2 linked regions of the Struthio camelus genome follow. The protein of the gene in region 1 binds, or shares a complex with, the protein of each later gene. Links are inferred from orthologs where the notes say so. Each region holds a gene or a part of one and is shown on either strand. Other genes may lie near its edges.

What was found.
Region 2: non-structural maintenance of chromosomes element 1 homolog (region 1) and NSMCE2 share a complex: the UniProt entries of both Homo sapiens proteins name them as parts of the SMC5-SMC6 complex. The link is inferred for Struthio camelus from reciprocal best matches to the Homo sapiens genes NSMCE1 and NSMCE2.

What each region holds. Positions count from the first base shown.
Region 1 is NC_090956.1:386,990-402,319, forward strand, and holds the start of non-structural maintenance of chromosomes element 1 homolog, read left to right. Parts: upstream 1-7,537; 5' UTR 7,538-7,677; exon of another isoform or gene 7,678-7,682; intron 7,683-8,493; exon of another isoform or gene 8,494-8,594; intron 8,595-8,664; 5' UTR 8,665-8,769; exon of another isoform or gene 8,770-9,074; intron 9,075-9,495; 5' UTR 9,496-9,521; coding exon 9,522-9,639; intron 9,640-15,330. Other genes in the region: IL4R (interleukin-4 receptor subunit alpha), read right to left, coding at 2,402-2,471. UniProt on the Homo sapiens protein: RING-type zinc finger-containing E3 ubiquitin ligase that assembles with melanoma antigen protein (MAGE) to catalyze the direct transfer of ubiquitin from E2 ubiquitin-conjugating enzyme to a specific substrate.
Region 2 is NC_090943.1:160,975,180-160,990,573, forward strand, and holds the start of NSMCE2 (E3 SUMO-protein ligase NSE2), read left to right. Parts: upstream 1-7,867; 5' UTR 7,868-8,011; intron 8,012-8,179; exon of another isoform or gene 8,180-8,316; intron 8,317-9,012; 5' UTR 9,013-9,188; coding exon 9,189-9,257; intron 9,258-11,124; coding exon 11,125-11,272; intron 11,273-15,394. Other genes in the region: WASHC5 (WASH complex subunit 5), read right to left, coding at 1,135-1,327, 2,244-2,344, 2,659-2,743, 3,803-3,948, 6,166-6,351. UniProt on the Homo sapiens protein: E3 SUMO-protein ligase component of the SMC5-SMC6 complex, a complex involved in DNA double-strand break repair by homologous recombination. Is not be required for the stability of the complex.

The sequences.
Region 1 (15,330 bases):
TTTTATTGTCAAAAATACCATGTTTCACTATTCCTACTATTCTTTTTCTGTGGTCCCTTTGTATCTTTTTTTTTCCTAAAATAACTTCTGCATACTTTGATATCTGCATCTGTAGATAAACATGCTGGTCATAATGACGTGTTAAATACAATTGGATCTACCACCAGGCCTAGTGTAACTTCATTAGAAAACTGATCCAAAGAGTTTATTGTTTAATACTGTCTCTTTGGTACTACCACCTATCACTTTCACTTCTCTTTTTAAAAGGCCTCCCACAAAACTCGATTACCAAGCAACCCTGGATCACTTGAGTAATCTCAATAAACTTAGTGGGGCTCATTTACGCCAATGAAAATGTAGCGCAATTTCAAGGAATCATTTTAAAGTTCTGTAAGAATCATAATCTAATTTTTCCGGTATATTGGCTGGCTATAAACCTAGAAGTACCTGTAGCTCACAGTTTCATTATTGTTCACATATGTAAACAGTGTCTTGTTCTATTTTAGCTGCTAAGGATAGATATTGATCTTGTAGGTAAAAACAAGCACTCTTAATTACTTCCTGAATGACAGCACCACATTTAGTTCCCTTTTGTCCTGCACTCCTGTGATCCTTCAAAAAAACAACAAAAAAAGAAAAACCATCAGAAGAACAGCAAGTTTAATCTTTAACTTCTGCAATACTCTAATAGCCACACGGCTCATTTATTTTAAAAGAACTGTTATCTATTTATCTTGTTACTGTTGTTTATTTTTGTGTTGCTATTTATATTTTTACCGTTCATTTTTATTATTTTTCCACTTGAAGATGGACTTTTAAAAGAACTACTTTAAAGCCCTTTAAAGATGGACTTTACTATTTTTCCGTGTGTTAATGATCTTACACTTTCAACACCCCTTGAATTATAATGAAGCTCTTCCTGGTGTGCTAAGCTATAAGGACTTGCAGTTTTATCTTGCCTTTTAGTGTCCTCATGTCTTTCCTGCATTGTAAATTATTCTCTGTATTCTTTTCCTGTGACCTTTTCCCTTTTCCATCTCTGGTATGACATTTTTGTAAACCTCAGATATTTGAAAATTTCCTTTTGAAACCACATGCAGTACAAAGTTTGTTTTCAGTTCATGTACTTGAAAAAGGGAACTGAAATACTGGACTTCTTTTTTCATCCTCAGCAAGAATAACGTGATGAAGAAACTTAAAAAATTGAAACCAGGAAAAAGAAATCTGTGAAATTATAAACCTTGATAATTTATAGAAAATCTAGGACCACCTAGATCAAATGACCCAGACAATGTGCACTTACAAAGCTTGATCACTCTAATTCAAATTGCAAAATTCCCTCCAGCATCATCAGCAGCATGTCTGAACTCATAGTACATAAGGAAGTAGCTAATAACCTTTTTTTTTTTTTTTTAAAGGGATAAGTTATTCTTGTTTTGTTTTTTACTGTTTTGGTATGCTTTTCTTAAAAAGAGAAAAGAAAAAGCAGACTATTGTGTAGCTACTTAAAAACTATGAAAAGGAAATATAAACTGATTTCCCAGAGAATAAAGGCATGTTCCTGGAAGATAAGATTTTATAAATCTAACTTCTTATTATAATGAAATATCAGAAAAGATATCAGGAAAATTTTTTTTCATATTCAGCTCCTGCCAAGTGAACTTCAGAAAATAACCATTAAATGACTAGCAGCGCTAAGGCTTAATGCGAATATACATCTTGCTAGACCAAAAGATGTGATGCCCTGCGTGCTCTTCACTACACGTCAGTCATCTGTCCCTGTATAATAGCACCAGTAACAATATGCAACGCCTTACAGTGAGTGCTTGCAAAACTTGTTCAAATCCAGTCAACTAAGTTTTCTAACTTAGTAACTCTACGCACTTTGGAGAACGCACGCTGACAGCTGCCTTTTGACTGTAGGTCTATACGTTCACCCTCCGGTTTATGAGCACAGCTCCCTCAATGTCTATTGCTGATGGCTCCTTTTTGGCCCACACCATGGATAGTGGCAGTTATGAAAATAAGCAAATGCGAGACTAGTGGGCTTTCCACCCTCACGGGATGTTTACAGAGATGCTCCTGGGTCATTGCAGAGAATCCTGTTTGCAGCAAGATGTCCAATATAGATTAGATAATGCGGAAGCAGACAGATGACTTTCCAAACCTCTGTTTCTGCTTCTTGCAAATTCCTATTTCTTAGTGCTAATACAGAAAAGGTCAGTAAAAAGAAAAGATTTGAGAATTTATTGTAATACATGAATATCTCTGATACATGTAGTTACGCATTTTATTCTAGTCAATTAATGGTAGTAATAATATCATCTACTAGTTATTCCTGCTCATGGTAAGGTACTGTCGACAACTACAGTGTAACAATTGAAAACATTGACAAACGTACTTTCATTTGTTGCATATGAAAAGAAAAGGATCCACAGGGTACGCAGTGCAGCACGTGAGATTCTTGCCATCACTGTGCTAGATGTCAGGATTAAGATCCTCTGCGGTGCCTGATCCTCCTAAAGATTGTTCATGGAACAACGAGAACTGTAGGAGAATAAGGGTGATACAAATGAGTTAGAAGACTTCTGTAAAAATTTAGTTACAGAGGATATTAGATTGACACCTGCTGTGCACCTACCCTTTTCAGGTACTAACACAAGAGATGCTGTTTGTACCCAAGATATTAAAAGAGTAAGCACTGGACCAAAACAATTCATTAACAGTCAATATGCCATCAGAGCCATATGATTCCACTCAGATAAATGAAGTAATTTAAGCACGAAGTGCCTGAGCTGTTGACTGTAATATAATTTCACAGTCTTATCACCGTTACCCTAGATACTGAGAACTACCAACCTCTTTAAAAAGTTTTGAGTAAAGACCCTTGCACAGAATGCCAACAGAATGCACATTTATTAAAACAATAACTCAAGTAGAAGTTGTAAAACATATACATAGCCATGATATGAGACCATCCAGCACAACTTCAGAAAAGGAAAATTATGCAGCTTTTATATATTACAATTCTTGAAGCATAGCGAAGTTCATGAACGAACTTCACTATGAAGTTCATGAAATAATCCCTTTAAGAACTCCGAACAGCATTTTTGCTCCAAGATTTTACAAGAAGACACAAAGTAGCTATTTGGTAGAAGATCTTATTCTGGATTAGATGTGGCTACCAGCTTGCACATCGCTAGAAATGCATATGGTGTGAGTATTTGATAACTAGGTAAATTTGTATGTATAGTCATGCTCACTAATATGGGGTGACCGTGACTTTGCATTCAGCATAAACAGGGATAAATCTTGTTCAAAAACACATCATCTGTTGACACAGAACCCTTTTTTCCCCTTCCTCTTATGCTCTTGGTATTTTCTAAACTCCGAGTCTGGACGCAGTGTTCTCACACTTACTACCTGCATGCTGCAGCTGCTCTGCTTACATCTGCAGAGCTCCCAGGTGGCATGGTATTTGCGATTCCAGAACTTCCCGATTCCCTTTGTGTGACTGAGTAAAGAGGAGAGAAACTCTCAGAAGATCTCTTCTAGTAGGAGACAAGCTTTTGGCTTTCTGCAGAAGTTCTGTTAGATTTTGAGGTAGAAGAAACCAAAAAAACATATTCGTTGCTGGTGGCTGAGTACCCTCTGCTACTAACCTAACTACAAAAGTAGAACAACCCTTGACACTTCTACCAGATTTGAGAATGGCCAGACTAAAGGAATTGGCTGAGGGATCAGTAATTTTGTTGTGGTATAAACTCCTTAAGCGATTAGCTTCGGAAGAATTTAATGCCGTTTTGGAAATATGCATGTGGGCACTGTATACACATAAGAGCATGTAGCCACAGATGCATGCTACTGAAGCCATATTCCTTCAAATACCACCTCTCAAAAACTGGCAAGACTCTCAAGAACAGCTGCTGAATATTTGCTGTCAATTAACATAAACACAGTGTGGACAACAGTCGGAATCTTTCCCAGCTGAGTAAGCCACAGACAGAAAAATTACTTTTTTTTTTTTTTTTAAATAAAGAAGCCCATGCCTTTTATTGATTAATTTATCTACATGAATTAAAACAAAACGTAGCAATAGAATCTTAATTTCTACAATACATTTAACAGAACTAGCACTTCTTTTATAGTGTATCTTTACTTCAGCATAAGTCAGACTCTGCTCCAAACCTCGTTATCCAAATTGCCACTTATTTCTTCTATTCTCACACACATGATTGACCGTTCTTTAAAATAAGCTTCTAAAGATTAAACATGGAAAATTTCAACCTTAGAAGCTAAGAAATAATAAACAATTATTTTAGAAATAAGAAAATTGTGAGTGCAAATAGATTAGAAAGGAAACTGTTTTGGGACCTTACAGGAAGCAGTTACTGCTCATCAAAAGGCATACTTTAACAATGAATTTCTCATAAACACTCAGGAAAACTATTACTCAAAAGCTGAGTTTTTCACTTTTGGAACAGACAAAATGTGATTGAGCACACTAATAAAATTTTTGAAAAGAACACAAATGCCTTTTTGCAGCTTAGGGAAAAAGAAAAAAAAAGGAGCAAAGTGCTCCAGCAAACAAAATCTTTCTCCTCCTCTTTTTTACTGGCATTCTCAAGAGAGGAAATGCTTGCTTTTCAAGTCCATTGCTGAGAAATAGTGTCTCATGACTGCAGTTCCAAGAAATTCTGAAAACTTTTGCCAAATAAACCTATATCACAAAAGCATGTATGAATCAGCAGACTACAGAGCAAAAATCTATCTCCCGTATGAAAAAAGTAGTTTGGGACAGTTGGATGAAAGTGGATTTAATCCACAGCTCTAATGAAAAGCAAACTTTTTTTTTTTTTTTTAAAATAAGAGTAGTGGATTATAAAACCAATACCAAGGGTTAGGGAGAAAATTTAAAAATGACAATAGCTTTCCCACCTGTAGGGTCTTAAGTTTTTCTTAATATTGAATAATGAAATATTAAACTTTTAAACTTAAAGTACATAAGTATATAAATGTTATATAAACATGCTTAATACAGTGTATAAGTATATATATTAAACTTAATAAAGTATATAAGATATACAGAATATTAAGTTCTCAGTAACCTGGTAATCCCAAGAATTATTAATGTAACACTGCATGTTTGAAAAAAAAAATAAAGCACCGAAAGCCTACGTGACTTTCCCAAATCTATGAAAGCAATCCATCAAGTAGCTCTATGTGATTACTGGCCCAAGTCATATGCTTAAATCACCTGATTATTCCTATCTTTTAAAAAAAATAAAGATGTAATTGAACAGATTTCATTTAATCTTGAGGAAAAAAAATATTTTCTAGCCTAGACTTTTAAATAAATTTGGGTCACAGTTAATCTACAGATATAATCTGCAAAACTGTTATGCTCAAAGGGTAACTCATGCACAAAAGACAAATGATGGTTACTTTTACCTAAAATTCCTTAATCTACCTTTGCTGAAATTGTGCAGTTAGAGGACCACTTACCGTTTCAAAACTGGGATTTTAATTTTAAAGAACAACTTGTCTTATTCTTCTGGATTTAAAAAATCTGCTATAACTGCAGACTAAAATCAGATAAGCAGTACAAAACAAAGCATGATTGCATTATTAGTCAACTGATTTTATATCAACATTTGAAAAGAAAAAAGCTAGGAGATAATTTTTCTCCTGTATTATCACTACTATTTTTATTGATTTTTTTCCTAAGTGCCAACACAAAATGGTAGACCTACAGGAATATATCTCATAAAACCTACTCTGATATGCAATATGACTGTCAGAGGCAACCACACAAGGTATACCTACTGTAAGAAGCGTGGGTGTCTTAGAATAAGCCCAATTAAGTTTTCAGAAGAAATTGGACACTAAGGAGAGAGTCTTGTACGGTGCATAAAGGAGGAAGTTTTGATGAAGGCGAAGCTAGAAGATACTTTGGAGTTTTGGTAAGGAAGGATGGCAACACTGGTGAACAAAGGGCCAAATGATTAAATTTAACAGGTCCCACTTGGCATTATCTAAACTAAACAGAAAACTATTCCCTTATGCTCCTTTTTCATGCTTCTTTACCATCTGATTAATATGGCACTGTGTTAGCGCTGTCTCTACTTGCCTTGACTGCTGGGTTGGAAAGGGTGGAGTAGCAGAAAATCAGACCCAGAATCAGGCCCTTAGATTAGGGACTCTTTAGAGGGGAGGCTTTGTCCTGTTTTTTATCTCATAGGGTCCTGTTTTTTATCTCAACGTACACATATTACTACATGGCTACGGAAAGAATTTCATTTCAAAATGACAAATTTTAAAGGAACAAGAGATCTTTTATTTTATAAGTGAATAACTGCACTAATATTTTAATGCCATCCTCATTGCATAAAGTCCTCCATCTAGTTTGGGGTGCTTACTGTTAATGACATTTTACACTCCCTATCCAGTGCAAGTTCAGAGGCATACAAACGAGATCTGCATTTCCAGCACAGTGCACATCTGGATAAAGCCTGCCTTGTAAGCGAGAGAACAGCCTCTCAAAATGCATGGATGAGTTCTCCCTAGACAGCTTGAAACTTGTCAGTTTGCATTTATGACTTAAGCTGGAGTGTCTGTATTTGAATATATTCCCTGTTGAGATGATGGAAGAAAGCAAAAGGCATAATGACGTGCTGTTTGGGCCTATAATGAATACAGTACTTTCACAGAGTTTGCCAAACTGCAAAATCATGGCCTGCCAGCAGCCAGATAACTTCAGAGATTTTCTAACTTAGACCCAATAGAACCTACAGAAACTGCTGAATTTGAACATCTCGAAAAAAGGCCGGTCCGCAAAGGGCCTGGACTACAGCGACTGGAACAGCCGCCCAGAGCCAGAGGTTCAGAAACGCAAGCTCCGTCTGTCACAAAGCGACCTCCGCCCGGCACGGCGCGCGCTGGGAGAAGTTTTTAAGGGAGGAGGCCGGGGCTCGGAGCGTGACCCCACCGGCGGGGGGCGGCAGCCTCGGCGCTCCCGCGCGCTCGCGCCTCCCGCCCCCGGCGAGCGGGGCCGCAGCGGGAAGAGAAGGAGAAGCGCTTCGGTTCCCACACCGGCGAACGGGCCCCCGCCGCCCCGGCCCGGCCCCCCCGCCACCGCCCCGGCCCGGCCCGGCCCGGCCCCCCCGCCACCGCCGCCACCGCCGCCCCCCGCCCGGCCCGGCCCCGGCCCCCCCGCCGCCGCCACCACCACCGCCACCACCGCCACCACCGCCGCCGCCGCCGCCGCCGCCCCCCGCCCGGCCCGACCCACGCGACGCGGCCGCTGAAACTCACTCGTCCCAGGCGGCTCCCGCCGCGGGCAGCCCGGCGCGGCGACAGCGTCCTGCCGCGGGCCGGGGCGCGCAGGCGGCCGGGGCGCGCGGAGCCGTGCGCGGCCGGCGGCGGCCGAGGCGGCTCAAGCCGGTCCCACCGGACGCTGACGCGACCCCCGACGCCCTCTGGCCGCGCTGGCGATTGCGGCCGCCGCCCGGATCCGGCCCCGCCCCCGCCCCAGCGCGGCGCTCGGGGGGCGGGGCCTCTGCGCCAGGGGGCGGGGCGGGCAGTCCTGGGCGGTGGCCGAGTCGGTCGATGGCAGGCGGCTGCCGCGATCACCGAATCGTCGAGTGCGGGAGGGTCGCGGCGCCGCAGGCCCGCGGGGTGAGGTGGGGGCGGCGGTATGGCCGTGGGGCGGCGGGGCCGGGGCCGGGGCGGCGATGTGGCCGTGGGGGCGGCGGGGAGCCGTTGGGGGGGGGCGGCGGGGGCGGCGGCGCGGGCGGTGTGGCGTGGGGGCGGGGCGGGGGCGGTTTTTGCGAAGTTTTTTCGCGGGGGGAAGCACCAGGCCTCCGTGCGCGAGGTCCCCGGGCTCCCCCCGGCCTCCCCCGAGCTCCCCTCGGCTCCCCCCCGCCGAGCTCCCCTCGGCTCCCCCCCCCCCGAGCTCCCCCCGGCCCCCCCCCGGCCCCCCCCGGCCCCCCCCGGCCCCCCCCCGAGCTCCCCCCGGCTCCCCCTAGTTCCCCCCCAACTCCCTCTCCCTAGTTCCCCCTCCGGCTCCCCCCCCCCCGGCTCCCCCTCCCTAGTTCCCCCCCCCCGGCTCCCCCTCCCTAGTTCCCCCCCCCCGGCTCCCCCTCCCTAGTTCCCCCCCCCCGGCTCCCCCTCCCTAGTTCCCCCCCCCCGGCTCCCCCTCCCTAGTTCCCCCCCCCCCGGCTCCCCCTCCCTAGTTCCCCCCCCCGGCTCCCCCTCCCTAGTTCCCCCCCCCCGGCTCCCCCTCCCTAGTTCCCCCCCCCCGGCTCCCCCTCCCTAGTTCCCCCCCCCCCCGGCTCCCCCTCCCTAGTTCCCCCCCCCCGGCTCCCCCTCCCTAGTTCCCCCCCCCCCCGGCTCCCCCTCCCTAGTTCCCCCCCCCCCGGCTCCCCCTCCCTAGTTCCCCCCCCCCGGCTCCCCCTCCCTAGTCCCCCCCCCGGCTCCCCCTCCCTAGTTCCCCCCCCCACTCCCCTGAGCTCCCCCCGGCTCCCCCAGCTCTCCAGCGTGTTGCTGCCGCGGAGGCTGCAGCGCTCCTGGCTCCGAGCGGGGACTGTTGGTAGGTGTGTGAGTTTTGTCTTTGAAAGAAAGTTGCCAGTGAATTAAGTAAAACTTATGATGTTTTCCTTCTAGCTGCTTCCCAGGGTATTTTAACTAACATCAAGCCTGCGTTGGTACCTCCTGCATAACAGTAATCTCCAGAGCTTGGGAAGCCCCTGGGTATTTACATCTAGAAAGGTGGGAGCGCTGAAGAGCAGCGTGTCACACTCTGATCCTCCAAGCACCTTCCCCGACTCTTTGTAGTCCTTGTTAGAAACAGAAATCTGCCTCCAGCGCGCAGTGAAAGCGTGAGATTTCAAAATCTTGGCACAAAACTGTGTTTCTCCATTTGGTCCTTTAGTTGGTCCTTTGATTTGGAGGACTGTGGAAGCTTCTTACATCTTTTGGGATTATTTGGCTGGAGTGGTCAAAGAATTTCTTGAAATGCTTTTATTTAGTTCTGACGTTCTTCACAACATATAGGGGAGGATTTTCTGTCCAAAGTAAGTTACGCTGTAATTATTAGACAAGTTATTTGGGTATGTACTAAACAGAAGTATTTAACACAAAACTGTGGAAGATGTTCTGTTGACTGTAATAGATGTAACAGTATTATTTTGTTTTGGGGGGGTATGATGGCACAATGTCTACGTTATTTTATTCTGTAACTGAAAGCGTTAGGTCAAATCAGTTAGAGTTTGTCTTTTGCATTCTTCTCATAGAGCCTTGCAGCTAGTCAATGTCTGTCTTTGGAGATCAAGCTGGGGGATCTTCTGGTCTTTACCCTGATTCAATTTTTTAGCTCACTGATTTGTTCTTTTTTTTTTTTTTTAAATTAGAAATTGAAAATCTTATATAGATTTGGAGTTTATATTTTTAACTTGCATGAACATGTGTATTAATTCTAGTTTACCCTCTTTTCAGCATTTGAAGCCTGGTGGAATATTGCAATGGCAGTTCAGATGACTGATGGTCATCGACGGTTCTTGCAGGTCCTGATGTCTCATGGGATAATGGAAGGATCAGAGGCTAGGAAGTTACACAGGCATTGCTGCGAAATCCATAAAGGTTTGTCTCTCTTTCCGAGAAAAAGTGTTGAGACTAAGATGGGAGAACACTTTTTTCTGATGCAGTTTACAAATCGTTAGATTTTTTTTAAAAGCATACACCATCAAAAAAATGTTAAACATTTTAATGACGTGTGTGTCCTCTCTCCTTTCTTTCCTAAAAGAAAAAAATAAAACAACCTAAAGGAAGAAGTTTTAGTCCATTCAGATCCATACAGCGCAAACTCTCATTTTCTATTTTAGCAGAGACTTTTTTTTTTGGTTACATATTATAATTTTAGTCATTCTTGCCAAGGATAGCGTTTAAGTCTCCGGAATGTTTTCCTTTATACTTCTGTGGAAGAATTTCCTTTGGATTATACTATGAAGTATATGCTGTTATACAATGCATCCATCTGGAGTAAATCTGTCACCTGACTAATTACATGTTCAGTTAGATGGTCCTGATATAACAAGCTGAATTTTATGGCACTTAGAACTGAAAATGGATTGTATACTTTCAAATCTGTTTGAAGTTCCTGATTGAACAAAAATACTACAGAAATGTGTAATCAACTCGGTTATGATTTTTTCGGAGAGATATACTTACTATATGTAGGTATATATCTTCACTAATTTTGAAAATGTGGTGGCACAAACTGAAATAAACCTGAAATGAGTAATGCATTTAGCGCTAATTAATCAGTAGGTTTTAGCTGTAAATTACATAGTGTGACAAAATAAAAAATTAAATCTCAATTGCTGTTTCCCAGAAAACAGTGAAAAGAATAAAATTCCCATATTTTCATCTTTTCCATATTTATGAACAAAATTAAAGAGGACAAGGAACGTGTAAAAAGAAATTGCCATTTGAAGGGAAATGTCCAAATGCTGTTCAAAGTAGTAATTTTAACAAATTACTGTTGAAAGCTGGATAACTCCAGAAAATATGTTGCTTAAATTCCACATTGTAAGAAGTGATGTGCACTGGCTGTATGTCTCAAGTTATTCTCTAGTATTTAAGATTTAAAAATCTTAACAGTTATATTTGAGGGTTTTGGTTAGTTCACCCTGTTTATGTGAGTTTGTTGAGAGCTGAACCAATAATTGCAGGGGAACTGAACTATTCCGTTTGTTAGTGAAGCGGTCAGCAGTGATGATAACTTCAGCGTTGCTGTTGCCAACTGTTCTTTTCCCCTGTTAAGAGAGTAGAGACTGTAGTCACTGATACAATCACTTGTGAACTCAAGACTTCAGAGTCCTTTTTGGAAGACCCTACTACCTACATATTTTCCTTAGTTAAAATGCGTCAAGCAGATTCCACAGGTTTATTCAAACTGCTGAGGCAGAAGAACTTATTTCAGCACCTGTGCAAATTCCTGACTGAAAAATGGAAATTCCTGACTAGAAAAATGATATGACAAATTCCTGACCAGAAAAATACTGTTGCTCTTCACTAGTTTACTCCTGTATTTGTGCAAACCAAGTCACAGCTTCTTGTAAAAATAAATGTTTGGTAAATACATTTGGTAAATGGCCTAAACCAACAGCTTGGCTATAACCAGTTTGTTATGTGTTTCCTAAAAAGAGTCTTAAGAGAAAAACTGTACAGCTAGATCCTGTAGTATGTAGGATCAGTGAGCTATAAGAATGCAGGATGCAGTAAGAGCCGATAAAGTAACATTCATAGAAAGGATTATTTATTAGGAAGAGTTTTTTAAAAATAGCTCCCTTGCAACTGCTGCCTACCAGTACTTCCTATTTCGTCAGTGTGGCGACAGCATAACGGAAAAATTTGTGAAACTATTCAGATACAGTGTGGGAGTTTTTAAGTGTCACAATTTTATTAAATGATCTACCTAGGAAGGCTGTGTGTCATGTTGGGGGACAAAGGGATGTTGAACTTGACTCATTGAATGGAACTTTTTTTTTTTTAATGCATCTTTACACTTCTTAGGAATAAAAAAAATGAGTTGACAGACCATCCTTATTAGGGCAAAGTCACCATGATCTTGTCAGTTATGATATTGTTAGTAATGTTTTTATGAGGAAACTCAGCCTGTTTGTACTGTTTCTAGAAATTCTGTTTTTGATGTAGTTTCTTCAAATACATCTTAATAACGCTCTGTGCAATCTGAATAACACGTTTCTAGTCGCACCAAAGCTAATGTACCTAAAACAGCATAGCTGAATTAATTCCTTTCCCCTGCAGATTGTAAGTGTTGTATAACAAGGCTGTTATCTATTTGTGATGATGGTTTCCTTGAATATAAAAGAATAAAAAAGCTTTGTCTAATGAAGTCAAGTCATAAAGTAACCCGTCTGTGTAGCCTCTGAGCAAAGCGATCTGACCGTTTTCCCTCCTGGTATTTAGCACGTTCTCTTGTCCTGTTTTATTTCAAAATCACAAGACTTTTGGCCAGGAGACACCGTCCTATCGTTTGTGCATCACATGTATGCTTGCTGTTAGCAGTACCTATACTAAAATCTGCACAGATCTCTGAAGGAAAAACTCCAAACATCTATCAAAATGCTGCATAGGACCACTAGAAAATGTGCAATTGAGTTAGGATACAAATTGCAAGATTGTTCAGGAAGAGTGTTATTATATTTACTGGAATCTGTTAAATGCACGTTTTTTTCCGTCTGCAGTGTGTTACGGCTTCTCCAGTTATGAAACGCGTTACAGTAAAATTTTAAGTGCAAAGCTAGAGACATTTCACAGTATTCCAATGTTACATATAGCTGAGGTACCATGATGTTCTCAGCATCGTTTTTGTGGGTGGCTTTATGTGTTGTCTTTGTGTGTGATTGCTGAGCACCTTTTCCTTGCCTTTGCAGTCATCTGTGCTGGATGTTGGATCCTTTCACAGGACGTTCTCTGTGGGAAGGGAATGTGTGAAAAATGAATATGATCCTGTCCCCAGCCTCCAAGAGGAAAATGTAGTAGAAAAAGGAGAGTTTGCAGTTATTTTTCCTGCTGTCTTCCAAGCCAGCTGTAGTTCTTTAATAACTGGAGCTATGGGTTTGCACCTCTAAATAGTACAACTGGAAAAATTGTGCCTCTCCTTTGGAAAACACATTTTTCTCTGTAATAGCACTGCTTTTTCCGCAGCTTATGGAGTAAATACTGAGAGTCATGTGCTTTCCTCTTTATCTGGGGAATCTCTTGACAGATTCTCCAGCTGATCTATTTTTTCTTTGATTCAGCACATTTTCATTTGACAAGTATTTAAACAAATTGAAACACAGGAAATTGCATCTGAGCATAAGAAAACACTTCTTCACTGCGAGGGGGGTTGAACACTGGAATGGGTTGCCTGGAGAGGTTGTGGAGCCTCCATCCACGGAGATACTCAAAACATGTCTGGGCACGGTCCTGGGCAACGTGCTCTAGCTGCCCCTTCCTTATCAGGCGTTTTGGACCCAGATGATCTCCAGAGGTCCCTTCCAACCCCAACTATTCTGTGATTCTGCGAAATATAACAATATTACTTATTTTGGTGGGCCAGCATTTTACTTTCCAAAGGTGTTGGCATTCACAAGCATTTTCTTTGCCACAGTCTTTAAGGCCAGAAGGGTAACAGAATACAAAAGTCTTTTCTTCGGGTATATTTTTGATGAATCTACAGATAATTTGGAGGGACAAATTCAGGTTGCATTTCAAACCACTGGCATTGAACACCAATATTATAACATTCACTATAAAATGTAACTCTTGTACTGAGTCACATTAAAGTTTGCTAGAGCAATGACTCATGTATTGCACTTGTGAAGAGATGTTTAAACAAATGAATTGGAGAAAACTGCTTTTTTTCCTTCCTGTTTGGAGTTAGAGAAGGAGCGTATTTATTTGCTTTTGTCTAACTAGATTCTATATTTTATTTAACTGGCTAGGTAGCTGAACTCTGAAGAAAATATCTGTGAGTGGTAACTTTAGTCTACAGTCACACCCAATTTTTTAAGCATAGTACATTTCATGCTTGACTGTTGTCAGACCCACTAAATAAACTCTGTATGAGAAGGAAGGGATTCATACAACAGACGAGCATTTTTGCTTTACATATGGTGAACTTTTTTTTAGTATTTAGTATTCTAGGAAAAAGCCCCAGTAGCTGCTTCTGTGTGTGACCCATTGTGCTACTCATGCTAATATCTTGTCTGCAAAGTTCAGCTAGAGCTTTGGGGATTTTTTTATTATGTATGATGGGATTTGCAGATAATCATCTGTTTGAAGACTGTGTTTTATGTCATCAGAGAAGGGTTTGCACTGAAAAACAACAGAAAAATGTACTATGCGGTTGTTTTGATATTTTGCTTTACAGTGCATCAAGTATCTCAAAACCTGAAAAAGAAAATGTGGCTCTTGGGTCCTCAGGCTAGGCATTTTAGTGTAGACAATGGTGAATATAAAAAAAAAGCACAGAAAATGAGCTGAGGAAGATAAGTGTGAATATCAACGGTTAGATCATACCATTCCTCATCAATAGCTTTTCTATAGCATAGTGAACCCTTCAATTATTTTTACTAGATGTTGTGGGAGAAGTGAATGCTGAGGAAACATTTTGGTGAGGACGAGGTGAGGTGCTGGTGGACGGCTGTACTTTTTTTCCATCTCATCTGCATCATATTACCCATTATTAGTTTTGGAAGCCATGCTCCTGTCAGGCTTATTAGTATACTTGTGGGATTTCTTAGTGACACTCTACCAGGAGTCCTCTCTTTTCACTGTAGGTTTGTATCTACTTATTCACACAATTTGAGGCCAGAAGAAAGTAATAAAACAATCTATTTTTGTCTACTATGTAAACCAGGCCATGTTTTTTACAAAATATTTGTTGCTGCACTTCAGATGACTTGTAGCCCTAAAATGTAGAGAAGCTTATCAGATCTTGGTTGAGGTGTTCTGGTAATAAAGACTGACTTAATATCCCCTGGATCCAAATTCAGTATTCTCTTGCGTTAAAAACACTGACATAAGATTGGATACCTGAGTCTTAGTCTGTACTGAAGCAACATTGTAGCATGGTGTAAGTCATCACTCAGGTAGTGGTTACGCTTTAAAACCAAATCTTTGCTATGAGTGGTTCATAGAGACCTCTTCAGGGGTATCAGCATTGGTATATGGGTGAAAATCCAGCCACCCAGTTTGAGTAACTGGATATTTTCCCTGCCTAAACTCATTTGCAGTTTGATTGTTTTTATTCTAGATTGTTGTGATGCAAAACGCTATTAGAAGCAGCAACTTCTGCTTCCAGTGATTCTGTTGTCATGGGAGGCCTGAAACATATAATGTAGTTGTGCGTGTATAAAGAGGTTTAATGTGAATGGTTCTATATGAGTATAAAATCAGGTAAAGCAGGACATACTGAAAAAATATAACCATGAATGATGTAGTCTAGTTCATAGTTAAAATATCATTCAGCTCTTTGAGGCAAGGATTGCCTGTTTTTATGTATTTGTATAATATCTTCTGCTATTAGGAGGGAATATTCCCAGTTGTTCCCTATATTGTATAAGGAAAAAAATCAGAAGAAAAAAGGTATTGCAGAACATGTCATTTTGAAGTGCAACTAAGAATGTTTTGATCTTAAAAAGACTTCAGACAAGCTCTTAGATTCTCTTACGAATAATGGTCCTCTCTCAGTTTTTCCTAGCTATAAAAAAGTTACCTAGCAGCGTTTTCAGATCGCAATAGGGAGCTTTTTATATA
Region 2 (15,394 bases), on another chromosome or scaffold:
AATAATAATAAAAAAAAAAAAAAAAGATAGGAGGCTGCTGCCTACTGTCATCAAGAATAAGCTGCAAGTATCAAAGGAAATAACACCTTACAGACATAAGATACTTCAGTAAAATAAGCTGCATTTAATCTGTGTTTAGCTGAAGATTTCTACTTCGATCTAACTTTTTCTGCTACAATTGGGAAAAGTATATTAACTATAATTGTGCTTCGTATAGAAGCTTTGATTGACGTTTTTAATTATCAATTGTAAGCAGTACAAAACAGAGATCACAGGTTGTACTATCTTAATCTGAAGGCACACAAGCTTATTTTAATAAAGAAAACAGGTAATTTTGACTAAAAGTGTTGAAAGACTTGAGTAAGATTTGTAGATTAAGAAGTACTTTAAAAGAGCACTCTAACACTTCGCTATTCCTTATCAGTACCATACATTATGTCATAAAATTAGCTTCTTCACAACTTGCCAAAAAAGTTTTCATTTTTTGTTTGCAGAACTTTTTGCACAGCTTAAAAAATTATTACCATAAACATGGTACAGTGTCTACAGAAGCACTTTTCCTCGTATAAGTTAACATGTCTGTCTATAGTTTGAAAGTGTTTTCGATAGGGTCCTTTTAAATTAATGCTCTTGCATTTGTTTATTTCTTACGTGATTCACTGATCTTGAGATGCTGTTTTTTTAGCGTCTGTAAATGTTTTCAGCTATCCAGGCTTCACTAGAGGTGTGCCATTAATTATAGAAATAAGATCGTTTGGGCCACCCTAAAGAAAGAACCCTGCTCAAAAGTAAATGCTTTGTTGAAGCTCATTTCCAAAGAGGTCATATAGAAGAGACTATAGAGTTCAAAGAGTAATCTCTGAACATACTTTCTTTCAATTTTTATTCTTTATTCATCCAATTGTCATAGATAAGAATAGTAATATTAGTGCTTCTTTTTAGTCACATTGCCTCTTAAGGGATGATCAATCTCTTTTCAGTAACTAGAACAATGAGAATCTTTGAAGGAATTGATGAGAGTTAATAAAAGTCGCCAATCATTTATTTTTTTCTAGGCTTCACAGTTGAGTAATTTACCCAAGAAACCATTTGATACTCAATTTTAGATTCCTCTTCTGTCTCACGCTAACTTACCTGGTTATAAATGTCATCTGATCGTAAGCGGCCAATAACCATGCTGATGAACGTTTCACTTATGGGTACCCTGCTGAAGTAACTCTCAGGGTAGTTTGGAGGCCTTTTAGCTCCAGGCTGGCTCGAGTACCCAGTGCTTCGAAGCAGTTTACAAATATCATCTAAATTGGAATCAGCAGAGGATCGGGCTGCGCTGTTTTCAAAAAGGAAAAAAAAATTAAGCTGTACGACCTGACTATTTCCTCCTCTCCTTTTCCTCCTAACCCTGCCTTTGTCTCCAAGAAAGTAATCAGATAGTAAGGTTTGGGAGACTTTTGTATGCTTACTTCCTGAACATAATTTTCACCATATTACAGAAGGACACTGACAAGTGCCCATACTGGAATCCCGGATAAGCGTACAAAACACAAACAAACAAATCCAAGAAAACGTTGTTCAGGGACAGAAACGACTACAGTTGCATTCAGAAGAGGTTCATTTGTCCATGCCCCACCTTTTCTGAATTCCCCTTCTTGCTCCATTCCTGTATTTCAGAGTTAAGGAATCCTTTGTCATTACACACTTGACAGCCATAAGCACAGCCAAAACACGTACAGGGTGCTCCCTTTTTTAGTTGCATTATTTGTGAAAGAGTTTGCACCGATATTCTCGGCGATTCTAGCTGTGATAAAGCAGTGCTGACAGCCTGCCCTGGAAATCTCGTTATCAGTTTGACTAATCAAGCTCTCTGACTACAAGAGGTTTGACTGTCTAGATGCTCGGGACTTTTCAGAGATTTGCTCCAACATTTGGGAATATCTGATGCTTTCAAAGCAGATACTTGTAGCTTCATGCGAAAGTTTATTTGTCAGTGGCTTTCAAATCTCTGTTGTGACAGCATGAGAAATCTGTGGCCCAAGTTTTGCAGCCAGATGTGCAAAAGCAGCTAATGCAAGGAGCTCTACTGACATTCAGACAATGATGCAGATTTATAAGGGTCTATCCGTATGGACCAAACGGTCAAAACGGTACCAATATTTCTGTTTATCTTAATTCAATGAGTTAACTGAACATACTGCATGTTACACTCTTTCAGCTTTTGAGTTCTTCTGAATACCAATCCACATTACCTGTATCTGTAGTAGGAAACCAACATTCTTTCTCTGACCTCTCCTTCAATCTTCTGGTCAATGACCAATAGCATGACTCCATATAAATAGAGTGCTTCACACTGTTAAGGAAAAAAACAATCAGAAAGAAATCAAATTAATGCAGTTTTGTAGCAACATCTGAAGACAAACAAGTGGTGACAAACTAACACAATGCAAACTATGTATATAGTCAATATAGTATGAAAAAATGGCAGGGCTGTAGACTTTGGGGCTTTGACTGCCTCAGATTGAGCCATAGCATTTCAATGTATGTGGTAAGTTTAAACCTTTGTCCATTCTTGAGACTAGATGTAAACAAAATAGACGCCAAAATATATCTGGAATTAAACTCGTTGGTTCATTTTCTACTATTACAAAACTCTTGAGTACTTACCAGAAGCTGTTTTCCATCTTCATTGAGGAGGACAGTTTCTAATGTTTGCTGAATGTAAATTCCTTCATTGAGGTCATCTAAATACCTAGGAATCATACCAAAAAATTGGTCATTGACTATTTTGCTCTTAAAGCATGCGTCCCCAGAAATCAACTGGCCAATTTTCACGCAAAGTCAGCAGACACGTCAATCACTCGTCCAGCGCAAGCAGCACACACAGGTTTTACACACAACAAAGAACAGATACTCTAATATGAAATGAGAGGCTGGAACTCGTAGCTAGGGTCAACCAGCTGGCAAATCCTCCTTCAATTTGCTAATGCTGTATGGGAAAGATACCGAAGGAACTCTGTAACTTAACAGCTAACAAATCAATCTCTTAACCTTCGCATGGCAGGACACAGCCTGAGAACAAAGTAGTCCTGGAAAGGAAAAGCTTTTTTTTCCTCCTTAAAATTTAGTAAAACTATCATATTCTCAGATTATCTCCAACAACAGCTACGGGAAATACCTTAAATTTATCTTAATTGCAGTTTGAAAGGCAGAGCTATAAATAAAATATTTCATCTTGATTAACAGATGATTTCTTCTTATTACAGGGTTTTCTAGTAAACTGCTTATTACCACAATGAGCTCAAGCTTTTTACCTAAAATCAACAACAAAAGCAATTCTTAGACTTCACACTCTCTTGCACCTCTTCCTTAAGGTTTTTTCATAAACCTTTCCTACCGTTTTGACAAGAGTAACAAACTTGAGACTATGGTAACTCCACTGAAAAATTAAATTTAGGAAAACAATACCAATGAAAGTTAAAGAAAAAATACTATCTGATTCTGTTCAATAATACGGAGTTTCTTTTCATTCATAAATCTTCAGGACAATCTCTCAGATAAAGAAGAATTAGCTCTAGCTTACGTTTATGGAAATAAAGTAGAGATGTTAAATGTTTTCAGGTCGTAGATTAAGCTGGTATGCAACAACAAGAGTAAAAGTTAGTGCCCAGTCCAGCAAGCCAGGTTTCCCAGTGCATACGAACACGATTCAAGGGCAAGCACTGAGTCTCCAAGGAAAAAGTTTCCAATCATTAAGATTAAACAGTACTGTAGTCTTTAAGAAACTCTAAATATCATTAAAAAACTATACCTGTTTAAATCTACAATGTATTTATGAACACTCTGAAAAGCTAGATAAAATCTTGTCAAAATTTCAATGTTGTTTTCACGAAATTCTTCATCTAAATCCAGTAACTCAGGCTTGGCTTCCAGCTTGCCTTCACACGCCTCAGGCCCCTAAGAAAGAAAATTCATATTTAAGAGACAATATTTGATTGTGTCTGTGACAGTCTTCAGTAGGACAAAGAATATACATGACCACTAGCATGTATGTAATGACAGAATTAACTGTTATTACTAAAATAAGGCACCTGCAGTTTTCCAAGCTACTTCATGATTAAACGGTGATCCCATAATGATGAATTCTACATTTTGCTACAATCTATGATTATCAATACGATAACACTTTGGGTAAAATTCTGACGCATCTGAAACCACCATGTGCTTTACCACGGACTCTTTTTAATGGCAGCTATCTCCTTTCTGGAACTTTTTCCTTTACACATTTGATCTGTTTGATTTCTCAAACAGAATCCAGAACATGAAGGCCTCACAGATAAGTTGTCAGCTTTGTACCTTCTCATACATTTAAACTCCTTGCAAGTATTAAACCTACGTGAGAGTTTTGACAAATTCTAGACCTAGGTCTGTGCTAGTCCCCAAAACTGGCACAGAAACCGTGTAATTAACAACTGTGTGGGAACAAGGGGAGAGGAAGACGAGCCTGACTTTCTGAAAGAAATGGTTCAAACTGTTTTAACCATTTGCTGCTGTCAACTCACCACCTTTCAGTCCTATCACTAACAGTTAACTGAAACTGTTATTAAACATCATTCCACAGAACACTTACATGGCATGAGATCACGACTTAAAAGGATTTTGTGAACAGGAACTCCATAAAAATCACTTAAAATAGGCTTAAAAATTAAATGTCAAGTCTAACACCTGGCTGACAACTTCTTAGTGGTTTTAAAAATGCTCTTCTATTTCTTTTTTTCTATGAAATGGCCACGTGAAACAAAGCATAAAAGCAGGCCCCAAACTGACTATGAAGCTTAAATGCACAAAGTAAATGGACTGATTTTCAAAATCTCAAATCTCATCACCTGATTTTAAGCATCATGATTGCAGGAATGGAGTGCTCATGGTGTTAATATCTGTAAATTCATGAAAGCCTGGTTTACAAGCATGTCTTTTATTGATTTTGTTGCAATTAGGCTGAAAAGCAACAGCAGTATCTTGCTTCTTAAACATTCAGGAATCTTCCAGAATAAATGTATTTCTGGCCAGTTACAACTTGACAATGTAAGAGCAAAGAGGTATTTGTATAAAAAAGGCTTGTAAAAAAATCTACATCTAAAGGTAATTGGGAGATCACCTGTGCTCAGGATTTTCCGAGCCCAAAGTACTCAGAATTTGCAATGCAAAAAAGATCCACAAAAAAACTCCAGCCCCCTTAAATGTTGCTGAAACAGTAACGTCTCTTTTATTGTACAATCTAAATGGAGAAAGTCAAATTACATCATCTGTAGAGTTCCTTGCAAATCATGCTAGAGAATGACAGAGGGGAAAAAAGTACTGCAAGAATCTTAGTTCTGTAAGAAAAATGAGACCTTTTCACGGACGCTACTCTTTAATTTATCTGTTGATTCAGTGCTCATGGACAAGCACCATGAATGAACAATCACAGTACTGTCAAACAGGAAAGCATAAAGCCGTTTGTATGGCTGCAAAGAAAAGGCTACAGATAACCAAAGGAAGACAGGCATACTGTGCCACAGAAAAACAACCAAGTGCTTAGGCTCAGAGCTTGCTGGTGAAAATGCAATTTTAAGTTTACTCAGGAAACAGTAATTAAAACCCCCCCAAATCCAATACTCAAATGTCATATAATCAGTCTTCTTTGAAACTCAAGGCCAGATGACTCATCAAACATTTTCAAAGCTGTATCAGGGACTGCTTTTGTATGTATGTATTTAAAGCTGTCCCATTTCCTGCCCTAAAGCTCAGTGCAGGTAGTGGTTGTACTTCTATTCTGCTTAGGGAGCTAAGCACACAATCTTCACTAGTCTGCTTCTGCTCAGTGAAATAAATAAGGTCAGGCTGAGTACCATCAGAAGCGTATAAACACAAGACAGCCCAGAAGAGGAGTGCTAGTATGCGAGCACATCCCATTTAGTATCTTAGTTTGGTGCATTTTTGGTAAATACTGAGTAAACAGGAAATTATCTTAGTCAATTCCGATGAACGTTAGCAACTAACATAACAGTAACTGTTTCCACACTTGTGAGGACATTAACACCCTTAGGCTTTCGCCCTTAGTGAAACACCCTTAGGCTCACCCGGACAACGATACTTTGAAGAGAAGTTTCACAATAAAAGAAAAGGATTTACCTTAAAATAACTGAAATCGAATATGATATCCCCATACTTCTGTTGATCAGCCTTGTCCTTGAGCCTGAAAACACCAGGAATAAATTCAGAAAGTCTCAGAAGTTCTGCAATGATGGCATTTCCACAGGAGACAATCCTAAGAATGGCCTGACCACAAAGATTATTTTCAGCTAAAAAATCAACCATTGTGGAGCTGAATGTGACCGCGTAGCAACAGTCCTGCAGTCTGCTCCCGAATGTTAGTCTTCAGGTTATTTGAAGAAGAACGTCTAATGAGAAAAGTTGCTGTTCCATTAATAGTACCTGTAAAAACAAAAACATACACATTTTGAGTGTTTCATAGTTATACTTCTGATAATTTATTCTATAGGGTTTTTTAAGCACACGATTAAATCTTACGCTTTATGAAATCTAAACGCTCCATGTTTTGTCCAAATGAAAACAACAGACTGAATTTACCTTCAACATATATGCAGTTTTGGCTCAGTCACCTGTGTGATCAGGCAAGAAATAATAGTGTGATCTTTTGTACTAGAAAATTTTAAGGTAACTATTAAAGAATGAAACAATCACAAAAACTGAAGCAATTGAGGCCATGCAGCAGACGGCAGCAAGGAAAGCACAAACTAGTACGGTACAAGACGCATGTTGGAACAAGGGAGAATCCAATAGCAAATGGAAAGAACATAGCTCCACTGCTTTATTTATTGCTTAAGGGAGAGCTTTTGTACTGTGGTTGCATTTCCTGGCCACATTTTTATTTATGGGCATTTTTTGCTGAAAGATCTGGAATGCAGCATGGCTAAAAATAAGCTGCTTTTTAATTCTGAAACATTTATGGGAGGTTATGAGCTGACTTCACTTTTTTTTTTTTTATCAAAAACCTTCTAAACCACTGAGTTACATTTAAGTTGACGAGGCATTTTCCGATCCCAGTCTGTCTCAAAATGCACACCAGGAGCCTCGTCTTCCTGCTACGCATGGAGGAAAGCATCGCTAGCACAACAAGCTCTGCTCTGCAAAGTCCCGCGCAGCTCCCAGACCCAAGTGAACAGGACCGGGCTTTAATTTACATCTCATCCCCCTCCAGTAACCTGATTCATCAGGCCACAGCGTGATTTCTTGACCGAATGGGACGTTAAAAATATGGGAGAGCCTGCAGACAGCTCCTGAAGTTGCACAAAAGCCATTTCCAGCGCGGGCGAGCCTCACCGAGGAGGACAGGCCGCCGTTTTAACTCCCTTTTCGACAGGCTCCTCCGAGACGCCAACGGCCCCCCTCAATGTCTGAACCTCCCCCCCCCCCCCACCCCCGCCCTGGAGCAACGGCCGCGCCGCGAGACCAACGGCCGCCCGCGCCCTAGGAACGGCCGCGCCGCGAGACCAGCGGCCGCCCGGCCCCGCTCAGCCCCGCCGCGGGCTAAGCTCTCGCCTCCCCGCTCCGGCGCCAGCCGCGACCTCCCCGGGATGCCGCCCCCGCTCGGCGGCGCTTACCGTCCCCGCGGCTAACGCGGTGAGCGGCGGCGAAGGGCGGACGGAGGAGGCTGCTCCGCTCCGCCGGCAACGGGCGAGCGGGCGGGGACGGCGGGCGAGGCGCAGCCCTCGGCGGAGCGGCCGCGGCAGGTGAGACGCAGGCAGCGGCGAGGAGGCGGCGGCGGCGGCGGCGGCGCCCAACCCTCCCATCACATGACAGCGCGCCGTCATGTGCCGAGGCGCCGGCTGATGAGGCGGTTCCGCCGGCGGCCTGTCCCGCCTGCCCGCGGCCGAGCGCGGCTGCCGCCGTAGAGGGTCGGCGCGGGGGCCGCCTCTGAGAGGAGCCCCTTGAGGGCCGCGGCGGCTGGGACTAGGTGAGCGGCTGCGGCTGCGGAGGGGCCCGCTTCGGCCGCCCCCCCCTTCCTCCTCCTCCTCCGGCAGGGCGCGGAGTGCGAGGGAGGGCCTGCGCGGCCCTGTTCTCCGGGCAGCCTCCTGCCCGGCGGGGTGGGCCCGGGGGCCGCTGCCCCGGCCCGTGCGCGGCTGGCACGGGGCGGCTCGGCGGGTGTTGGGGCTGCGAGGCGGGCGGCTGGCAGAGCGGGGCTCCCTGCCCCCAGGGCTCTTGTCCCCAGCTCTGCGGCGGCGAAGTAGCGTCTCCGTGGCACAGTGACCGTTGTAGGAGGTAGAGATCGATACTATTAATGAGCCCTGATCAGCTGTAGATCTTGCGTTTTGTCTCCTTTTCAAAGTTTGGAAGAATAGAGCAAAGGGAAGTTAGGTCGTTTGCTCGAATCTTAAAAATTGGTGGCAAAATTGAAACTTTAACCTTTTAGGGCTTCTGCTTTGCGGTCTTCTATTTTATTGTTGAAAGAAAAAACTGACCAGCCAGTCTCACTTGGCTCTCCTTTATGAATCTTGGTTTTGCTCATTGTATTTCCCAGAAGATGAAGGGTGGGGGTTGCAAGCTTAAGTGCTTCATTGATGCACCCAGTGAAGACCTTCATGGCAAAAGAGAGTGCCTTAAAGAAACTGCTCAAAACCCTGTTCCACTGAGGAAGTTGCCCTTTCCTCTAAAGGCAGCATGAACAGCTTCCAGCTGTAAGTTACACTTGAAGAATTAACTTTAAAAAAATTGAAAAGGAAGTCTGTGCTTGGGGTCATCAACTATTTCTATCAAGTTTAAGCTTTTGTTTAAAAAAAAAGAGTCTGTCTATGGGTACTTAAATTATCTGCCAAAACACAAATTGTGATGAAGCTACCAATGTGATGGTATGATTTAGTGTTGTACGTAACTTCAGTTCCTGTATACTCGGTGTTCCCCCATGTTTCAGAAGAAGGAAGAAGCCTTTTTAACTTTTCATTGTTATTTTTTTTTCAGATTCCTGTCTTTCACAGTGTGTGTGTTTGAAATTTCCAAAAGAACAGCAGACTTGCTCAATGAATGAGATTTACCAAGTTCAAGAAGTGAATTAGGTTCTCTCTGTTAATTTTGATACACTGAATGGGCCCAGAAGGATAAAAGCGCTAATATGCATTTACGTGACTTAACAGTGTATGAAGTTTGCATTACCGAGGTTCAGTATAAACACTCTTGGTGAAATGGCAAACAGCTGCTTTAAAAAAGTAGGTTAAAAAATTTAGTGTAACAGCCTAAAGCATTTGTTATTAAATTAAGCTTTAAGAGCATCCCTTTCCATTACTTTCAAGAAGTTCTCTAAGAAACTTTTTCCTTGTCTTCTGTTATCAGATCACCAGTCTCTTAAATGGTATTTTAGATAGCAATTGCTGTATTTTGGTGGGGAGATTAGGAGAAGAGATGAGCTGGAGCTATTGAAGATTGCAGCCTCCTTTATGACAAGATGCACCTTTAGCAGCGGGGAGAGAGAGAGAGAGAGAGAGAGAGGAAAGCTGCTCATATACATTTTAGAAGTTCAAGTTGTCATGAACTTGAACAGCTGTGTTGCTAAAAGGCTGTTGTAAGCTCGTGTCCTCAGAACAGTGTCATAAAAGATAGTCTTGAGTGGCCAAGCACATTTTTTAAAGAGAAAGAAGAAAAAAATAGGGAAAAAAAAACTGTAAGAGAGGAAAGAAGGTGGCAGGAGAAATTCCAGTCTCGTAATCTGCCTGACATTCATGTGGAAGATTGCAGTGCTGTGCAGATTAGGATGAGTGTAAGACATAGTTCTGGAATCCCAGGTAAAGTAGTAAATGTGAGACAGAGCCTCGGATATAAAGTTTTGTGCTTTCTATTTAGATACTATCCTGATTTCTGTTGGATTATAGCCTGTGAAAGGGAGTAATCCATAGAATGACTCATCTCCTTGTTACTCTGCATACTAGATGCATCTAACTTGGGATGTACCCCAATTTTGGTTTTGGATTTCATTTCTCCCCTCCCCAGTATAGTCTCAATATAGTCCCTGATAATACCAGTTATTGTTTACAAGGCCTAATGCAGTATTTCTATCTATTTAAGACTTTTGTTTTTTATAATCAATTGTTTGCCTAAAGCTGACCAGAATTTTTCTAACTTCCTGCAACTTGAAGTATAAAATTCAGCATTCAACATGTGTCTTTTACTAGCTACATGTTGTCTAGGCAAATTATAGCAGAGAACAAAAAAGGAAGAGCAGAAGATGGAACTTCTGAGAAGAGACCACCGACTGATGTGGAAAGTATGATTGATTCAAGTTATAGGGACAGTGTAAGCAATGCTACTTGAAGGTCATGTTAATGACAGAGGAAAAGGAGTTAGTCCTAGCAAGGATGTTGGTCTGTAGTGGAAAGGAAGTAAAGGTGGTAAAGAGCACAGACATGAGTCTTGTGTGATTTAGTGTTCTGTTCCAATAGAATATTGGTAATATAAACTAAATTTGTGACATCTTTGATGGAAATTCTTAACATTTGTAAGGTAGGCTTTTACTTAAGAAATAGTATTAGGTAACTTTCTGCTAAATACATTCTTAGAACAGTTACCATTTATTTGATTTTTTTTTTCTTCTTTTTCTGAGGGCTGGCTGTTTGTTGAAACAGGCTTGTAATTGGGTGAGGCTCAATTTGATGGAAGAAGTCATATTCTTACTAGCCTAATTGCAAATATATCTAGAAAACAGACAAGTTTTTGGGTACTCTTTCTTTGGAGCTGAAATAGAGCAGAAACTTTCAAGCTAACATAATCCTTGAGTATTTCGGTCTCACTGTGCTATAGCAATAGGAATGAGAAGATGAAAAACTGCAAGCTGCTGTTTGTGGTGTAGTTTTGATTAGTGTTGAATAGGAGGGGGGGTTGAAATCCTCTAGTGAATCACATTTCTACTCGTGCCACTGACTGAACTTTCTCTGACATTTTGGGAGCTGAGATTTCATCCCTGTTCTCTGATGTTTGAGGAGCCCTGTTACAGCTCTGTGTTTAGCTATCTGTACTTCTGTTTTCTCTTCCAAATGCGCTGTGTGTAAACTGCATTCAGAATGTTATATCTGTTATTTCTAGACTAATGGTTTCAAGATGCCAGGGGGTGCAACAATCTCATTCAACTGTGTGGATTCTTCTCTTTCATCTTTGAAAAACTGCCAGTCTTACATTAACACTGGAATGGATATTGCTACTCGTGTTGCCCTTGACCTTGTGGAAAGTCTCAGTAAGTAATTCCTTTGAGTATATTATCTTGCTTATATTGCTTCCTGAACTTTACAGATGGGTCCTAGGCCTACGTATTTTGACTTAGTTACAGTCAATATCTACTTCATCATAGAAACAGCAGCTCTTCTGGATAGTTCAGAGTGTTACCATTCCAATCACTTCACTGTCTTAAGTGATAAATTCAGTGAAAGTATAAACACCAAGTAACATTGTCCCGGCTTTTGTAACACTTTTAAAAGACTAATTGCATTCCAGTGTTTGTTATCTTACAGCCTTGTAGAAACTTTAACAGTGCTGAAACGGATGGACAAAGCCTTTTAAGCGGGTGAATAAAATGACTTTTCGTTCTAACACTGCTACTTTGTGTGTGTTTTATTTAATGTTTAGGGCAAGATACGTTAAAATAATACTATTGATTTTGAGTACAAAAATTGAGACATGTGCAAGAGATGTAATTTTTCTGAATAGTGTCTCTTTTCCTGCTGAAAATTAGGCTGATTTAGGGTGCTTCAGTTTGGACACTTGCAAACAGAAGTACTCTAAATCTGTAATCACTTCTGACAGTCTTGTCATTGCTGTTTTACAGCAACAGGTGCATTGCAGAATTGCTTTTCAAAGACAAGTATTTGGCCTCCTATTGCTACAACTCTTGGATCTACTGTAAAGTTTTCTCTAGGAAAAAATTAAACCTTCCAAGCTCCAAAGCCCTAAATGATAGTTTTAATTATGAGTGGAGACTGAGAGTCCTCTAAAACAACATAATTGCTGTCTTGCTCTCAACTAAGCCAAACTCTATATAAAATCAGAATGAAATTTTCTGTTTGTATACTCTCTCTCTCCGACCTTTTTATCCATATTACTGTCAGAGGTAATTGATGCCCCTTTTCAAAAGTGGTAGAGGAGACGGAAAGCTTATCTAAACAGTCAGCTGGGAATTTCCTTTGCAGTAAAACTGGTATAACCAGTTCTGTTTCCTCTCTGCATTTGAAGTTACCATCTGTCCTACTTTGCCGTAAGTGATACATGGAAATTTGCTGACTGTACTGAATTCCGGTAATCCCAAGACCTCAGAATGAGCCACAGAAGGTAGTTATTGGCAACAAAAGCTAAAAGCTGTGATTAATTTCACCTTTCAGCAGAAGTCAAATCAAGTCCCTGTTGCCATTCACATTTTGAAAGGCGGAAGGCAACTCAAACTCCTCTATGAAGGTTTGCGGCTGAAGGTGTGTGCCATATGCTTCTAGATAATTTTGTTATCTTCCTCACTTACCAACTTCTGGCATATTCATTTTAATTATAACCTCCAAATTATTTTGACTTTTCAGTAACCAAATGGGCCATATTTAGTGTCCTATCAAGAGAGGAGATCACTCTTGAAATTTCTATGGTCAGTGCTAATGGCTAAGTTATTTCATAGAACTGATTTTATTTTGGCATGAGAATCTTCCTTGTGGAATCATGACTGTAAACTATGAAGCACCACATCTTTTACATAGTGTTCCCTTGATCTACAGAAAAGGTATTCCAGGCTATTATTTGTTGCGTAAAGACGTTACAGTTCCTCTCAATTTGGTCTGGTATTACCTTGTTGACGCTTTATTTAAAGTAGTTCTCTTTCACACCACCTCTGTTTTTTTCCTTGCTGATGTAAATACATGTGTACATATAACAATTCTATCACTTTTGGGGGTTTCTTTTGTTTGTTTTTTGTTTTTCTAGCCAAATGAGCAAAGCTCCCTTACCTTTCATTTTAAGGTTTGGTTTTTCACTCCACTGACCGCTTAAATGTCATCTTCATATGTTCAACTTAGAATTCAAGTTGTTTTGTTCCATATAAATGCCATCGGGAAAGATACAGGGTTTCTGTGGCAAGATCTATTTTTGCTAAACACTATATTTTTGTTTTTTATAGTGTTTTAGAATCAGGATTGTTGAATCTGCCTGACTTGACTGTTTAATTCTTACCTCCAACTCATATGTGGCAGTTTCTGTATCTGTAGAATTATTACCCATCTATTCTACTTTGCCTTCCTGTTCCAATGCAAAGTATTCATTCAATTTTGAGCCAGCCTTAGGTTATATGCTGCTGCGTTCTTGTTGCTGTCCCATTTGCAGTTTTTTCTTCTTTCTTTCAAAAGATCATCTGGCTGCTGACAGGTTTTGTTGCCAGGCTTTGTAGTAGCAAAGAATTATATTGTGATTATAAAGTAATAACTTTCTTCACCAAGCACTCTTTCTGGGAAGGTATTTGTTTCCTTTGGACTTTCTTAGGTCTGGGGTTCATATATTTGACAACTCTGCTTTTTGGGAATAATACTGAGATAAAATTTTCTCAGGAAGTACGTGAAAGAAGTTGCATTTACATCTGGAGGTAAATAGCTGGAAGGGCAGATAAAGTTAGCATAATAAGTGGTATTGGTTTCTTCTCTTAAGTGCTCTCCTCTAAGAGCTCAATCCTGAAAACTTTCAATGTTAAGCATATTTATTAAATCGTACCAAGTAGTATTGCTGGGCTGGCTACTGGTTAAGGCAGTAGCGTGGAGGTACCTCCCATAAACCTACCTGATACTAAAGTAGACTTTTTTTTCTTTTTATGAAGGTCTAACTGAATTACTGTTCCTGACTTTCTTAGGTATAGTAGTGGGTTTGCTCTGATGTTGTATTCAAGCTGCTTTCTATAGAAGTCTAGGCAGCAAATGCCATACTTTTTTAAGAGTAAGCAGTCATTCATGAAAGAACCTGTGTATGGTTTTCTAACTTCAAACCTCTAAGCTTGAAAGCTAAGAAATATAAATTAACAAATGTAAGTTGTCTTTGATAGGCTTAACGTGCTTTTATGGTATGCCAATTTTGAGGGTGTTTCCCTGTTAAGTAAAATCACTTAGTGCATATTAGCAACTCTCAAGCTAGAAAGATCATCTTTGGTTTCTGACATGCTTAGTGGAAAAGGATATGGAGTACACTTCTAACGGATGTAAATCTGAAACAGTTCAGTGTTTCAGCGCTTTTGTATGCATCTAAGCTATAAAGCAACTACATGACTCTTCAGGTGGAGAGAAAATCAAAGCTCACTAGGGGGCAGGAGAAGACAGGAAGTAAGCGGTACTTCCGTAAAGTTACAAATGCATAGGAAAGAAACTGGCTTTTTTGCTGTGACTGTTGATCTGGCTGTGAGTAGCCGGTAATCCTCTCCAGTTGAATCATCCAGAGAGCAAAGAACTATTACACTGGTTAGGGAAGTTATTAAAAACCATTCAGAATGATTGTGAATTTATGCTATTTAAACAGATGGTGGTAGTGTTACATGGAATGAAGAGGGAGTGAAACCACTTGTTAGATCATGCTGCCAGAGAGCTGCTGATAGGAAGAGGTGCTAGACCTGTGGGCAGGAATTGGCTCAGGGTATTCAGTGATTTATAGTAATCTTGCTAGTACTTCATCCTTACCTTTCTTCAGGTGATCTCAGATGCTTTGCAAACACTGGTTAAGCCTCTCAGCTCTCTGTGAGGTAGATAATGATTACTTATACCACTACTGAAATAAAACAATCTTTTGAGTGAATAATGACTGCTGTTTAAAAACATGCTGTAAATATGTAATAATCCAAAAGAGCAAAATAATTTTCCTTTGTCTAAATGAAGCAACAGAGACTGACCAGAGAGGATAGGTACTTATTTGAGTTCAGGGACATCAGATTAAACTGCTTATTCATGAATAAATAGCACAATAGATCTTTCACACCTTTATTTTGATATAATGCTTGAAAGTTTCAGAACTGAGTGAAACGTTGGCTTTTCCTTTAAACAGTGATTTCATGTGGAGAGTGCCTGTCACTGAACTGAGACTACGCTATCTCTCAGCATCTTAATTTGTTTTAGTTAGCTGGCATACGCTTATTGACTCGCTGCAGTCCTGCTTAAAGACGAGAATTTAACTATTTCTGAGTAAAGATGGCATTGCTGCAACCCAGTGTATATACTGATGCTACCATTGATGGCTGTGCTGCTGTAGTTATGTATACTGGGCTTTGGATATGGAATAAATATATATTCATTGTATTAAAAATGAACACTTGTGCTCTTCACAGTTAACTTGCATGAGGCAGTGACTTTCTGGCAAT